Xenopus tropicalis: one gene and its partner. The protein of the gene in region 1 purifies or fractionates together with the protein of each later gene. This does not show direct contact. Links are inferred from orthologs where the notes say so. Each region holds a gene or a part of one and is shown in the gene's direction. Other genes may lie near its edges.

The links.
Region 2: the proteins of pam16 (region 1) and dnajc19 purify together in Homo sapiens (affinity purification with mass spectrometry; 3 studies listed by BioGRID and IntAct, with this or other methods). This does not show direct contact. The link is inferred for Xenopus tropicalis from reciprocal best matches to the Homo sapiens genes PAM16 and DNAJC19.

The regions. Positions count from the first base shown.
Region 1 is NC_030685.2:20,382,152-20,390,177, forward strand, and holds the start of pam16 (mitochondrial import inner membrane translocase subunit tim16), read left to right. Parts: upstream 1-3,170; 5' UTR 3,171-3,263; coding exon 3,264-3,266; intron 3,267-4,756; coding exon 4,757-4,841; intron 4,842-5,469; coding exon 5,470-5,606; intron 5,607-6,358; coding exon 6,359-6,424; intron 6,425-8,026. UniProt on the Homo sapiens protein: Regulates ATP-dependent protein translocation into the mitochondrial matrix. Inhibits DNAJC19 stimulation of HSPA9/Mortalin ATPase activity.
Region 2 is NC_030682.2:8,217,633-8,225,754, forward strand, and holds the start of dnajc19 (mitochondrial import inner membrane translocase subunit TIM14), read left to right. Parts: upstream 1-2,989; 5' UTR 2,990-3,088; coding exon 3,089-3,091; intron 3,092-3,172; exon of another isoform or gene 3,173-3,206; intron 3,207-5,717; coding exon 5,718-5,769; intron 5,770-5,995; coding exon 5,996-6,069; intron 6,070-7,781; coding exon 7,782-7,858; intron 7,859-8,122. UniProt on the Homo sapiens protein: Mitochondrial co-chaperone which forms a complex with prohibitins to regulate cardiolipin remodeling.

The DNA.
Region 1 (8,026 bases):
TTATAGAGCCGAAGGACAGAACTTATTCAATTTTATATTTAATATTACAAAGGTAAACAGTGCAAAAAAGGTTTTACAAAAAGAGACATGTACATACAAACAGTAAATAAAATAAAAGGAAATAAAATACCTAGTTATCTTTTGTGTCCTCTGAGGTAGGAATTTGGAAATCCTGAGCCCACACTCCAACATAAGTTGAGACCTCCAGAATGAGCTAAAGAATACCTGGGCATGCGTGCTTTTATCCCCCGCTGGGCCCCTCCCTTATTACAGTATGCATGAGGGGGATTGTCCAGAAACTGGTCACATGACCCCCCCTGTAAAGAGCTGCACTTCTTATGCCAGTTTCTTGTCATATAATATTGGTACTTGCCAGTAGCCAATATTATTATGAAAGTAGGGGATTGTTTTAACCCATATGTGGGTGATCAAAATGATACCAAACATGAGGGGTGTCTCCTGTCCCAATCCCCCAGAAACTATCCCCCCTAACTGGTGGGTATAGGCCGTCCCTGTTTGGTATCATTGGGAAGCATGCGGCCCCCTCATAACCAATATATGATTTATGAGGATGTGAACCCTAAAGCAAAGGAGATATGGATCCCTTTCTATAATCCAGATTTTTCTGTATGCTGTTCCCCCCTGCAGTTCTAGGTCCACACTTTGCCTTGGTTTGATCAGCAGATCAAAGAAACGTAATGAAGTTGTCACCTTCCACAGTCCCTGGTTGTGTCTTTAGGGGGTATTTGTGAATTTCCCTCAAATGTGGATTCCAACCAGACTTTCTAAATTGAAAACTTAACCCTTTACATGTTGAGCCTTACTGCTTCAACATGACAATTATAGTGATTTGCGAGGAGGCAATAAGATATCCTCTTGACATGTATCTATACTCGTTGGTGTATGTAGCCCTTACTATGGCCATGTTGTCAGTGCCGTGGGGCCTTTTGATGTAGGGTTGCCACCCTGCTGGTGCCGCTATCCATTTATGCCTACAATTTTCCCATTTAAGCCCTCACATTCACCCCAATCCCCACTCCCACCATCCCCATCTCCCAGTCTGTGACCCTAGTCCTGCCAGTCTCCACCCACATGATATCCCCACCTGTCTGTCTGGCATAAAATTGGGAAAAGGTGGCAACTGTAAGTGGATATTGGGACTGGGATGAAGATAACCCTAAAGGAGAGGCAGGAACACAGTTCAGAACTGATGGTCAAATGTTTTAACAAGTTTCATCAACAGAATTCAGGCAAAGGTCAGGGCTGGCAGCAGAGTAACAGGAACTGGTAAAGAGTGAAAAACTGGAATATCGAGAATTATAACACAACCAGGATCTCAGCACTGAAAGACCTACAATATTGCACTGAATATGCTCTTGGCTTACTTTTATTTTGAATTTATAATATAGAACCTATAGGCGGGCACTTCTGGTACACAGGAACTGCTGAGCAAGGTCTGTCTAGTACTAAATAGCCTAAAAGGAACATTTTAAAGGTTTCTTAATTAACTTAATTTTAATTAATTTCGTCTAGCCGTATAATTGTGTAAAAATGTAAATTCAGCAGCTATCTGATTGCTAAGGTCCCATTAACCCTAGCAACCAGAATGAGAGACTTGAATATGAATAGGTGAGGGTCTGAACAGAAAGATATCAAGAAGCAATATTAAAACAGTAGCCTCAGGTTCTTGATTCTACGGGTCACTGACCCTGATCTGAATGCTGGAAAACGCCAGAGGAAAGTCAAAGGCAATTAATTCAAAAACTATAAAAGGATGACCAATTGAAAAGTTGTAAGATGAATTTTAGCTTCACAGCCAGACTTTCTATTACATCCAAATGGGGAAAAGATCCTCCAGTAGCCGGAGAAGTCATCACATGAAACTTATGGAAGAGATGATCTCTACACAATGCTGTATTTATTAACATTGGAGACAACAGCACTGGTGATGTTGCCCATAGCAACCAATCAAATTTTTGCTTTGTTTTCTTGTAGGTGACCATTCAAATCTAATTGCTGATTGGTCGACATCACCAGTTATGTTTGTCTCTGATGTTAATAAATACACAGTGTCCTCTGCTTCTTTCTCAGCTATGTGAACAAAAAAAAACATTGTGCAGGCATTTTAAACTTTATGTTTTAAACTGTGTGCTCAGGTCTGAATAAATGTAACATTTTGTGTTTCCGCAAAAATATTCTTTGTGTGCATCACAATTTGTGTGTGGGCAGGCCTGAAAATTAGAAACACTATGGGGGAGATTCACTAATCCACAAATCCGAATCCCGAAAGGGAAAAAATCGGATTGGAAACGAAAATTTTGCGACTTTTTCGTCGGCGTCTCAATTTTTTCGTCACCACCGTGACTTTATCGTATTTTGCGCCACTATTTCGTCGCTGTCGAGATTTTTTCGTATTGAGCGGTTGTAAACGGCGGAAAAACCAATCTGATTTTTTAGCGACAGCGACGACGACGAAAAAGTCGCAATGCCGACGAAAAAGTTGCAAAAATACCAATCATTACGAAAAAAACGCATTCGGACGCCTTCGGACCGTTTGTGAATTAGTAAATCTCCCCCTATGGGTAGCGTTGGTGATCATAATTTTAAAGACTGGGTACTACAATGTGAATTATTTTTATACTTTATTTCTTTTGTCTGTTTGGTATTAATCAATCATATAAAGAGGCAATAACCCAGAGCTTATAGTGATTTTCATTACTTTTTTTATTCTCTTCTATTGTTGTATAATTGTTCTTACCCAACATACTATGTGACCAGTATAACTGGAACCTTCTGTTCATACAATATATTAAAACCAATAAAAACAAAGTTTTAAAAACAATTGCGCACAGCTTTGAGGGAACATTGCCCCTATAGAGGGGTATTTTCTTTTATTTGATTAATAATACTATTTTCTAATTATTCTGGTTTTAAGTGAAACAAAAGCAAAACCAACAAAACCAAGCCGCGACCTTCCCAACTAAACTAAGCCCCTATTCGGCTCTCATAAGGAAACACAACATCCTGGAACTACAAAGATGGCGCTACTGCATATCCGGTTGAACCATGTGCGTAACGTCATTCAAAAAGGCAGCATTGCCGGACGTCTGGTTACGTTACATCAGCCAAGGCGGAGCTGTCATGGTAACCCATGTGGACGAATGAGAGGACCAATATGGCCGCCTAGTGTCTTCCGGCTGCGCTATTCCCTCTGACCCCGCACGATTAACCTTGAGTGTTTCAGCGCTGGGCCCCTAATCAAGATGGTAAGTAAGACATAGGGTAAAGGAGTATTAGATACGGATCTGTCTAAACGTGGAGTAAGGACAAGTGACAGACTGAGACGTGAAATCCTGTGGGGCTGGGTGACATGTCCTGTCTCAGCAGCTCGATACCCTGTGGCACTGGCACTTGTTTGTGGTGTTATACTTCCAGCATAGACACACTGTTCCATTCTTATTGCTGTGCCTCATGTATACAGGGCTCATATTCCCTTCCCTTGTTGTGTTGCCTTGTGTGTGTGCAGCAGTGACGCCAAGTACGGACTCCAGAGTTGTCACCTGTCCCTGGAATTTAGGGACAGGTGACAACTCTGGTGTCCGTACTTGGTGTCACTGCTGCACACACACAAGGCAACACAACAAGGGAAGGGATGTGAATATGCCCTTGGTTTTGTTACTCTGTCCCTAGATTTCTTTCCATAAAAGAATTCCATATGTTTATAAAAACTGACCAACTGCTTAGTAAACCTCCAGGCTTTTGTGATTTATCACTTTAGCACCAGCGTATTCTGTAGCGCTGTACAGTGTGATTATTGAATTTATTATCATTATGGCGCCAGCATATTCTGTAGCGCTGTACAGTGTGATTATGGAATTTATTATTATTATGGCACCAGTGTATTCTGTAGCGCTGTACAGTGTGATTATGGAATTTATTATTATTATGGCACCAGCGTATTCTGTAGCGCTGTACAGTGTGATTATTGAATTTATTATCATTATGGCGCCAGCATATTCTGTAGCGCTGTACAGTGTGATTATGGAATTTATTATTATTATGGCACCAGTGTATTCTGTAGCGCTGTACAGTATATACTGGGGAAAGCACATCCTAAAGCAGAAGCCTGTTTTTTAAAAGATGCAGAGGTTCTCAAAAGAGCAGTCAGATCAAGTTTTATTTTGTTTTTGACTTCAGACAGTAACTATAGAGGAAGCAGACCCTGCAGCTGCAAGGGGCCCTGGATTGTAGGGGGCCCAGTAAGGCCCTAAGTAATGAGCAATTTCAATAGAGCTTGATAGAATGGGTCAATTTATCAATGTTTTGGGGGCCCTTAATTGAATTTGCTGGTGGGCTCAGTGACACTTAGTTACGCCACTTGCTTCAGATAGACTCCTTGGGTATATACCCCTTTTAGTATGATACCTTTTGTTTCTGATTTTCTATGTTAAAAGTTTTCTGGTTCTGTTTACTCTGCCAGCACTAAGCTTTCTTATCTCTTTCTTACTTGGCCCCATTATGGTTCACTGACTATTTGCTTGAATATTATCAAACACCTTATCAGGCAAGGCACACCAGCCCAGGGAAAAACTTGCCCAACATATTGGCACTTGCGGTGAATTCGCCTTCCATTGTCCAACAAGTTGGTTGTTGATAAAACCTCTCTGTCCCCAGCTCACGTTAATGTTCAAATTCTCACAAAAGGACATAATTGCTTTTTATTTACCCCCTGTGCCCTTTGTTGTTTCCTTTGCAGGCCAAGTACTTGGCACAGATCATGGTGATGGGTATGCAAGTGGTGGGCCGGGCATTCACACGTGCCCTACGGCAGGAGTTTGCTGGTAAGACTACAATACAGATACTGAATAAGAATCCAATACTAATTTTATCAATATAATGAGAACTATATATATATATATTTTATAATATCTAATACGTATATAATCTTTCATAACTTGGCACTTGTACACATAAACAGAGCAATGGCTCTGCCGTTTCATTTGCTAACCATTTGTACTGTGTATGACCACTGTCAGAGAAGGGGAGGCTTTGATTTTAAAAAAAAAATTGCCAAAGTGTTCAGCATTTAGTTCCCCTTTAAAAGCCACGCATTTGCTTCCATGTAATTATATGAGGAGATGCTGAAGGGTTGGGTATTGTGCAAGAAAAGATAGGGACCATATATTTGTGGCCCCTTGGGGTGCTTCTGTAGCAGTGCCTTGTGCGTAACCTCTAATAGAGAAGGAAGGCTCACACTACACACTAAGCTAAGAAACCTTATTTATGGAATCACAGAAACACCCAATTAATTTCTATATAATTTTCTCCCACCCTGGAAAATGTCCAGGAAATCACCCAGAATAGTGCAAAACATTTTGATTGCCTAAATGGTTCTCACCAGAGGGATGGCTGCCCCTTGTCTCTGCTCTCACTAATTCTTCTCCTTTCCCTATGGGGTCTGTTTTGTAGCAAGCAGGGCAGCAGCTGAAGCGCGGGGGCGAGCTGGGACAGAGTCAGCGGCAGTCAGCAGCCTGTCTGGCATAAGCCTTCAGGAGGCCCAGCAGATCCTAAATGTCTCCAAACTGACACCAGAGGAGATCCAGAAGGTAAAACTGTAAAAATATATATATATAATATAGTGAATAAAGTACCACCTTTTGTAAAATATTAGGATATTATAAGTTACTGAGGAGTTGCATGACCATATAAAAGCACAAGACCAAAAGCTGTACTTTTATACAGGTGATGGAACTCCTGAGGTGACTTCTAATATCCTCATATTTTTTAACAGGGAGTACATTATTTATTATAATATTGAGCAATTATAACTGATTATATCGCCAAGCACCATTTAAACTTACAGGATATTAACGGCTCTTGTTTATTATATATCTATATAAATATAGTTGCATCATTGCATTAATATCATTAATTCATCTGTTCTGTCTGTACAAGGTCGGCCTATGATAATTCCCATCAGCCCATGTTTAATTCCGCCATGGGCCTATGTAAAAACCTATACTGTTGAGCACTGTCTGTATTGAATTACTGTGAGAGTGGGCCTAAGGTTTCAGGTTCTCCAGTGGGCCCTAGGAGACCCAGTTAACCCTGTCATGCCCTCTTTTTAGTGAATTCTGTTTCTATACTGTTTATTTTTCTGCCCTTCCCTAGAGACAATTGACTCTCTGCTCCCTCAGGCGTATTACCTTGTTTCAGTGTTACATGACATTGGCATCAATAATAAATGGCAGCAGTGAGGTTATTGTCATTAGCCTTGCCGTATCCTTGGCATTCTCACTCGCAGTCTGTTCATTCAGCTGATTGGCTTTTATTGTGACCTCACTCCGTCTCTCAACAGAACTACGAGCACCTGTTCAAGGTCAATGACAAAGAAGTAGGCGGATCCTTCTACTTGCAGTCTAAGGTGAGGTGCCGCCCAAGGATGGGTTACCCTGCTGTGCCCAACCTCTATACAATATTCTATCATTTGACATGCACAAAGCAGGATTTGGGGTCATTAGTGAGTTAATTTCTTGTGTCTCTGCTTCAGTGCAATGAAATCACCCAGCAATAGCTTTTCCATATGCAATTAGATTCATGCGTTCATTTTTTTTGTAATACAGGTAGGGGACCTATTATCCAGAATGCTCAGGACCTGGGGTTTTTCAGATAAGGGATATTTCTTCTAAAAAAAAAATAATTTAAACATGAACTAAACCCAATAGGATTGATTTACCTCCAATAAGGATTAATTATATCTTAGTTGGGATCAAGTACAGGTACTGTTTTATTATTACAGAGAAAAGGGAATCATTTAACCATTAAATAAACCCAATAGGGCTGTTCTGCCCCCAATAAGGGGTAATTATATCTTAGTTGGGATCAAGTACAGGTACTGTTTTATTATTACAGAGAAAAGGGAATCATTTAACCATTAAATAAACCCAATAGGGCTGTTCTGCCCCCAATAAGGGGTAATTATATCTTAGTTGGGATCAAGTACAGGTACTGTTTTATTATTACAGAGAAAAGGGAATCATTTAACCATTAAATAAACCCAATAGGACTGTTCTGCCCCCAATAAGGGGTAATTATATCTTAGTTGGGATCAAGTACAAGGTACTGTTTTATTATATCATTTTGAATTAATTGGAGATGACCCGAAACCTTTTACAAATTCTTCCAGGCTAGTCTAGTCTAGACCCTCCCACAGTCCTAAGTCACTGACTTGCCCATTCTAATTGGCATCGCACAGAACTACCTTCTCATGATCTATGTCAGTGCCCAGAATTAATAAAAGCAATTGTTGTGGCGTGTGTTACATACATAATAAGGCCTAGGTCCAGGCCCGGACTGGCAAATCCCATAGTGACTGCTGTAAGATAGACACTATTTAGTGGGCTGGTAGGGGGCACCTTTGCAACCCCCAACTCTGCCCTGGAATCCTTGGTATGTCGCTACTTTCTGTAGTCCGGACCTTGTTCTGTACAATCTGCTCTATTTGTGTACCCTCCGGCCAAAATGCCTCACAAGCCATAAGGAATGCCTTGTAGCAGTGAAAGTAACATGGATGCAGATAATGGCACCGCTGAGTAGAAAATTGCAGCTATTGGTTTGCCATTGAGCTTAAAGCATTGCAAGGAGCGCAGAACTATGCCTACCCATGCATTCATCCGCACAGGGAGATTAGCATCTGACATGGAAGGATTTAGGCATCAAGCAGGAATCTGTAAACATGCTGCCTGTCAGTATGGAATCCTAATAGCTGCCACTACTTTATATATTTAAAGCTTTAAAGTGATTCTTTAGAAGTCAGCAATATTTGGTGGCTATAACAGTTTCCACTGCTGCCTTTTTAAATCTGCTCCTATCAGTAGTGGCTGTGTGGGCCGGGATCTCTAACATATTGATGCTGGACTGGCATTCATATTAGACCTTGGCAAGTACACAGAGGCCCAAACAGCCCCCCAGCAGCCCAATAAATAGTGACTGTCTATGGCATCTTACAGCAGCCCCTCTGGCATTT
Region 2 (8,122 bases), on another chromosome or scaffold:
TTTGATTATTGAAACTTAGCAGTAGCGGCTGCATTTCCCACCCTAGGCTTATACTCGAGTCAATAAGTTTTTCCAGTTTTCTTAGGTAAAATTAGGTACCTCGGCTTATATTCGGATCGGCTTATACTCGAGTATATACGGTACATCTCTTTTTCCTTATCTAAAGTGAAGCTTCACCCCTTTTGCTTACTGAGCCCTCCTCCTCTTCTTCAACTATAATGACCTCAAAGAGGTGCCTACTGTGCTGCCTGATTTTAATTGGAGCAGAGGCATGAGCATGCCCAGTAGGCACCGCTTGAGGTCATCATAGTAGGAGAGAGGAGGGCTCAGACTATAAAAGGGGTGGAGCTTCATGCTGCACAAAGAAGTCAGTAAAAGAGCTGCAGTTCAGCTGTTGTAATAGAGAAACAAACTAAACCTGCATGCAGGGAGAAAGGTATGTTATTCTGGGAGCTGTACAGAGTCATTTTAGGGGATTTTAAAATAAAAAGCTTACTTAAGCCACCCCTTTTGCACCAGTGTTCAGGCTTATAAGAAAGTGGAAACTTCCAAATTTCCTTAGGTTTTGCCCATGAAATATTTTGCCTGCACCGGGTGACCTGCGGCATAGAGGCGGGGCAGGCAATATATGATTAACGGCTCAGATTTGTAAATACAATTCATACAGGTATGAATTTAACAAAAAAAATTGGGGCTTGATGTTTAATTTGCAAAGGACTGTGATTATGTGGCTTTTTGTGTGGGTGATGGGTCCCCTTTAAACATGGTTCCTTTAGAATGGGGGTCCCCAATCTTTTTTTTTTTAACCTTGAGCCACATTCTAATAGAGCTGGGCGGTATGACCAAAAATTTATATCACGGTATTTTTCAAAATTATATCGGTGTCACGGTATTTGACGGTATTTTTTTTTCCATGCATGATCTTGGGCAGCACAGGTACAGACACACGGGGAGGCACAGGTACAGACACACGGGGAGGCACAGGTACAGACACACGGGGAGGCACAGGTACAGACACACGGGGAGGCACAGGTCAATGCTAGAGGGAGATTTATAAGAAGAGGGTGAGACTCAGATGCCCCCCCCCAGGTATGTATGGAACGTATCACACAAATAAATAATATATGACAGCACATACTGATAGGCACAATAAGAGGGCCATAAAGAAGGATACTTATAATTTGTAATGTCGGGGGCTCTCAAAGCCCTCGTCCCCTTTCTTCCTATTCATTGCGCCGGTCTCAGCAGTACTGCCTCACACAGCTGCCAGCCGATTCCCGGCTTATGTAAGCACACGCTTTATGCCTCCGTGCCCCGGCTGCGGTTGCTATGGTAACGGGTGAAGCTCTGCCAGCGATCAAATTTCTCTCGCGCTCCATCAAAGTCCCGGCATGTACCTTATCCCAAGCACTTCCGCCCTCCGGCTCTTAAGCTTCAACTCCCGGGATCTGCACCGGGAATGACGCATGCATGCCAGAGAGCTTATTAAAAATACTTTTTTGTATCATGAAAGCGCAAGGAGGCGCGCAAGACCGGCCGCACGTGAGTACCGTGACACACCGGTATGTGCAAAATGAATATAATTTTAAAAAAAAACACCGGTATTCGGTGTTAACCGGTATACCGCCCAGCACTACATTCTAATGTAAAAAGAATTGGGGAGCAACACAAGCACAAGTTCCAGGAGGTGCCAAATAAGGGCTGTGATTGGCTATTTGGACTGGCAGCCTACAGGCTTTGTTTGGTTTGTATGCAACCAGGGCCGGCAGGACACCAGGAAAAAACCCAGTGGGCCCCCCCTGGCCCAGAACCAATCCCTGCTGGGTGCTCTGGGCCCCGTAGGTCCTCTCTCTTATACATCAGGGATTGAATTGATGTCTATAAAAATGAATTTATTATGGACCACGTAATCTAATGATTTATTATGGTCATTATAGTGATTAATGTGAATCCCTATATGGAATAAATATTGTGGACCCCTACATCTCTGCACATTCTTGTATATAGTATATAGTGCATATCACCCACCCACCAATAAATTAGTCGCCCTTTTCTGCCACTCCATGCTCCATTGGAGTTAATTAGTTAATTGAAACATTATCAACTGTGGTTGCAGTTGATTGATTTTATGCACTGATTATGACAATTATTGTCTATTTCAACTAAAGTCTATAATAAAGCTTGTTGATTTTAGGGCACAACACCAACATTTTTTTTTTTTTTTTTTCTGTTTTCTATTATTGATTTGGGTGGGAAACACCCGGTGTGAGCCTGATAGGAATAATAAGACATGGATAATACACTCTTCTTGTCTTTTTGTATTTACCTCTCTTGACGTGCCTAAGTATGCATGCTCAGAGGAGGGGGGGGCTGCGCTGGAAGCCCCGGTGGTCCCTGCACCCCCCCCCAACCCAACCCAACCCAACCCAACCCTACCCTGTATGCAACCAAAATTTGTCCCCAAGCTAGGAATACAAAATCCAAAGGGTTGGAGAGCAACATGTTGCCCCCAAGGCACTGGTTGGGGATCACTGATTTAGAAGAACAGTTTGAGCTCAGTGGACGTGTCTCTTATCAAACACCACTACTATATAAAAATCTTCTGCCTTGCTGCTTCCCCCCCCCCCCTTTTAAATGGGCCTCTGATTGATAGACAAAGGACATCATGCAAGCGCATAAAAAACAAAAAAAGAGAACAATAATAGTGTAGTAAATCCAAATAAGTGATAAACGAACCAATTGTGAGTGACTAAGCAAGCAAAACATCAGCTTCGAATGGATTACTCCGCCCTGTCAGTGGCTCCTCCCCCCGCAGCCCTATACAGTACATCCCTGGCAGTCACGTGGTGCGGTTACTCGGCACCAATAGCAGTTAGGCACGCCCCTTAGTGACATGGCGCCGCCCCGCACACAGCCCGGGCAGTGACGTCGTAAGTCCGTAACCTTTGGAAAGTCGCCTTGTTCTGCTGTCAGCGGAGAGCGGGCCCATGCGGGAGGCGGGGCTGAGCCGGGATCCCCTCTGCTCCCCCGGATAAGGGCTCTGAGCTACTGCCCCCCCCGGGGTTATAACCCGCAGTGAGGAGTAAGGATGGTAAGTGGGGGCTCAGCTGGCTCCTCCCTGTACTGGCCCACTGGGCAACCATTTCCTCTGTGAGACAGGACAGGGCGGCTCAACTTCACTGAAAGTCAGGCAGCAGTGAGGCAGTGTGTGTAATATATATATATATATAGGCAGGTAGCCATAGTGTAATATATATATATATATAGGCAGTTAGCCATAGTGTAATATATATATAGGCAGGTAGCCATAGTGTAATATATATATATATATATAGGCAGGTAGCCATAGTGTAATATATATATATATAGGCAGTTAGCCATAGTGTAATATATATATAGGCAGGTAGCCATAGTGTAATATATATATATATATATAGGCAGGTAGCCATAGTGTAATATATATATATATATATATATAGGCACGTAGCCATAGTGTAATATATATATATATAGGCAGGTAGCCATAGTGTAATATATATATATAGGCAGGTAGCCATAGTGTAATATATATATATATATATAGGCAGGTAGCCATAGTGTAATATATATATATATATATATAGGCACGTAGCCATAGTGTAATATATATATATATAGGCAGGTAGCCATAGTGTAATATATATATATATAGGCAGGTAGCCATAGTGTAATATATATATATAGGCAGGTAGCCATAGTGTAATAGCGAATCAGGGGTGACTAGCAGGACTGGCCTTCAGGGGGTTCTAGCTGTGTCTGTGTGTATAAAATCCTATGGCAGGATATGTGGCAGCAGTGCCCTTGTGCCTATACAGTGTATGGGGGCGCTAGCCCTGTATCGGCTGGGGGGTTACATTGGCGCTTAAAGTGCACATATTGCCCTCTAATTGTACCCCCCACTGTAGGTGCTGGGCTAATACCATAGATGCTGGGCTAATACTGACTGGGCTGCATGATGCCAGGGGGAAGGGGGATATAGGAAGGCTGGGATTGTAGGGATACAGGGTTAGTAATAGGGAAGGGGATATAGGAAGGCTGGGATTGTAGGGATACAGGGTTAGTAATAGGGAAGGGGATATAGGAAGGCTGGGATTGTAGGGATACAGGGTTAGTAATAGGGAAGGGGGATATAGGAAGGCTGGGATTGTAGGGATACAGGGTTAGTAATAGGGAAGGGGGATATAGGAAGGCTGGGATTGTAGGGATACAGGGTGAGTAATAAGGAAGGGGGATATAGGAAGGCTGGGATTGTAGGGATACAGGGTGAGTAATAAGGAAGGGGGATATAGGAAGGCTGGGATTGTAGGGATACAGGGTGAGTAATAGGGAAGGGGATATAGGAAGGCTGGGATTGTAGGGATACAGGGTTAGTAATAGGGAAGGGGATATAGGAAGGCTGGGATTGTAGGGATACAGGGTTAGTAATAGGGAAGGGGATATAGGAAGGCTGGGATTGTAGGGATACAGGGTTAGTAATAGGGAAGGGGGATATAGGAAGGCTGGGATTGTAGGGATACAGGGTGAGTAATAGGGAAGGGGATATAGGAAGGCTGGGATTGTAGGGATACAGGGTGAGTAATAGGGAAGGGGATATAGGAAGGCTGGGATTGTAGGGATACAGGGTGAGTAATAGGGAAGGGGATATAGGAAGGCTGGGATTGTAGGGATACAGGGTTAGTAATAGGGAAGGGGATATAGGAAGGCTGGGATTGTAGGGATACAGGGTGAGTAATAGGGAAGGGGATATAGGAAGGCTGGGATTGTAGGGATACAGGGTGAGTAATAGGGAAGGGGATATAGAAAGGCTGGGATTGTAGGGATACAGGGTGAGTAATAGGGAAGGGGATATAGGAAGGCTGGGATTGTAGGGATACAGGGTGAGTAATAGGGAAGGGGATATAGAAAGGCTGGGATTGTAGGGATACAGGGTTAGTAATAGGGAAGGGGATATAGAAAGGCTGGGATTGTAGGGATACAGGGTTAGTAATAGGGAAGGGGATATAGAAAGGCTGGGATTGTAGGGATACAGGGTGAGTAATAGGGAAGGGGATATAGGAAGGCTGGGATTGTAGGGATACAGGGTTAGTAATAGGGAAGGGGATATAGGAAGGCTGGGATTGTAGGGATACAGGGTGAGTAATAGGGAAGGGGATATAGGAAGGCTGGGATTGTAGGGATACAGGGTTAGTAATAGGGAAGGGGATATAGAAAGGCTGGGATTGTAGGGATACAGGGTTAGTAATAGGGAAGGGGATATAGGAAGGCTGGGATTGTAGGGATACAGGATGAGTAATAGGGAAGGGGATATAGGAAGGCTGGGATTGTAGGGATACAGGGTTAGTAATAGGGAAGGGGATATAGGAAGGCTGGGATTGTAGGGATACAGGGTTAGTAATAGGGAAGGGGATATAGGAAGGCTGGGATTGTAGGGATACAGGGTTAGTAATAGGGAAGGGGATATAGGAAGGCTGGGATTGTAGGGATACAGGGTGAGTAATAGGGAAGGGGATATAGGAAGGCTGGGATTGTAGGGATACAGGGTTAGTAATAGGGAAGGGGATATAGGAAGGCTGGGATTGTAGGGATACAGGGTTAGTAATAGGGAAGGGGGATATAGGAAGGCTGGGATTGCAGAAGAAGATGGCACCCCTATTTACAGAGGCTCATTCTCTTTGCAGGCGAGCACCCTGATAGCGGCCGGACTGACCATCGCTGTTGCAGGATTTGCGGGTTAGTAGAACTGTAAGACTCACTTAGCTTGGCTTGCCTGTTGTCTCTACAGACTGACTTATTATTATTATTTATCAGCATATTAACTGTACAGTCCACTCATTCCCCATAGAGAAGCTGCATAAGTGGAATTAAAGATACTGACCCCCCAGAACACTGTTGAGCTGCTGCTATGGTATGGCAACTCCCTATTACATATGATTAGTAATGCATTCCTGTGTTTCAGGTCGCTATGCCGTGCAAGCCATGAAGCAGATGGAGCCGCAAGTGAAACAAGCTCTCCAGACCCTGCCAAAAACGGTAACGTTTGAGACATTTATGAGGATGGAACCCCTCTGCATCCTGTAAAATAAGCTGCATATATATATATATAATAAGTGTATGATGATGTAGAGTGTGATATTCTAAATCACTTTGCAGTAGTTTTTGAATTTAGGTTTTTATTCAGCAGCTCTCTAGATTGGAATTTCAGCAGCTATCTGGCTGCTAGGGTCCAATTTACCCTAGCAACCAGGCAGTGGTTAAATGCGCTAAATGCACAGCTTGGACTACCGGCTTAAAGTTACTTACGATGAAACGCTCTCACCCCACCAGGGGAATCCCTCAAGTTTCTCACCATTAATTAGGGGTGAGTAATGGTGAGAAAACTTGAGGGATTCCCCTGGTGGGGTGAGAGCGTTTCATCATAAGTAACTTTAAGCCGGTAGTCCAAGCTGTGCATTTAGCGCAGTGAACGTAAGGACTCCAGGCTGCTCAGACTTATAATAATACCCTTTCCCCTAAGTTTCTGTGTAATTTGTGTGCCCTATGCTCCGGAAATCCCCAAGATTATATTAATATTTTTGTGGGGCGACTAACTATCTTATAATAGCTGAACTAAGTACCACCGATCCTCCCTATAGCTCCCCGCACCCAACTTAATATCCATTTAGGGGTCGGCTTCACTTGTGTCTTAACGGTAGTAATGGTCAGGCTAAAGATAGCCAGGTGGAAGCTTTGACACTATCTCTGAATAAGAGTTTGTTGGGATAACTGCCGGAAAGGTAATACAACGGTTGTTACTATAAGCGCAACTGCATAGAAACACTGGGAGCCCTTAGTGTGCCTGAATTTTCCTCCTGGTGTTTCTCTTCTCAGATACGCGTAGTAAAGAGAATTATTGTGCAAATTGGGTATAGGATAAGGTGCGTGACATTACGTCACAGAGGTTTGTGTTTAATTTACTTACCTGAATTTTACGGTTGGATAACTGCTAATCATGGGCCCACACGGATAGAAACCTAAGTGGAGCAATTTTAAACTTACAATACTTACCCTGGAAAAACAATTGCACACAAATATTGCCGAGAGTATAGCAGGCAATAAGAGAGCGATATAGGGGTTTTTGGAACAAATCTTTATTAATAAATGCAGTAAAAAAACACCCACCTTCAGGATCATTTTTGATGCAGATAAGCACAGGTGACTGAGGCAAACCTTCCGACTTCTCAGAATTGCACTGAAACAATTGTAACTTTGTAACGAATATCCTGAACTCCCTGGAGGAATTTGCAACTGTGGCGTATAACATATAAAATAAATAGTTGTTACAGTAGCAACAACTTTTACGATTAGCCCAGTCAATAGAGAAGTTATTTTAGTATCTTTTCCTACTTTCTATCTAAGGGTTTTAAAACAAGATTTTAAATGATTGAATAAAGGCTTCATTTTATTGGGAAACAACGGGTGTGCCAGCAAAAGACTTTTGTGTGTCTTTTTCTCTCTTTTCTGTTCTGTTGATACAACACACTGTGCACCCCGGAACCACAGTGCATGGTTTTTTTGCATTTTTCTAAATAATACAATCATAGCCTCACAGAGCAAGAGTTTTTTGGCTGCCGGGGTCAGTGACCCCCATTTCAAAGTTGGAAAGAGTCAGAAGAAGGCGGCAAATTATTAAAAAAAAATATATATACATAAAAATAAAAGAAGACCAATTGAAACATTTAAAGTTGATTTTCTTGTTGGTTTAGGCCTTCGGTGGTTATTATAAAGGCGGATTTGATCCCAAGATGACCAAACGAGAAGCTTCATTAGTATTGGGAATCAGGTAGGTTATACGTGGGCTCCTAAACACTAACTGTCATACTCTCCTGGGAATGGGGAAAAAGCACAAAGCTACTGGCGGCTCTGTGCTTCCATTTGAGTGCTACATAAAGCTCTTCCCTAAGGGTGAACACACACTGAGCTACTTAGTAACAGCTACTTGTCATGGCTACTAAACACCGAAAAATCCCCTGCCATAGACAATACTGAGAATTGCCTCTGCTAAAACACACATAGAGACAGTTATCAGTAAATGATCAGCATTGTC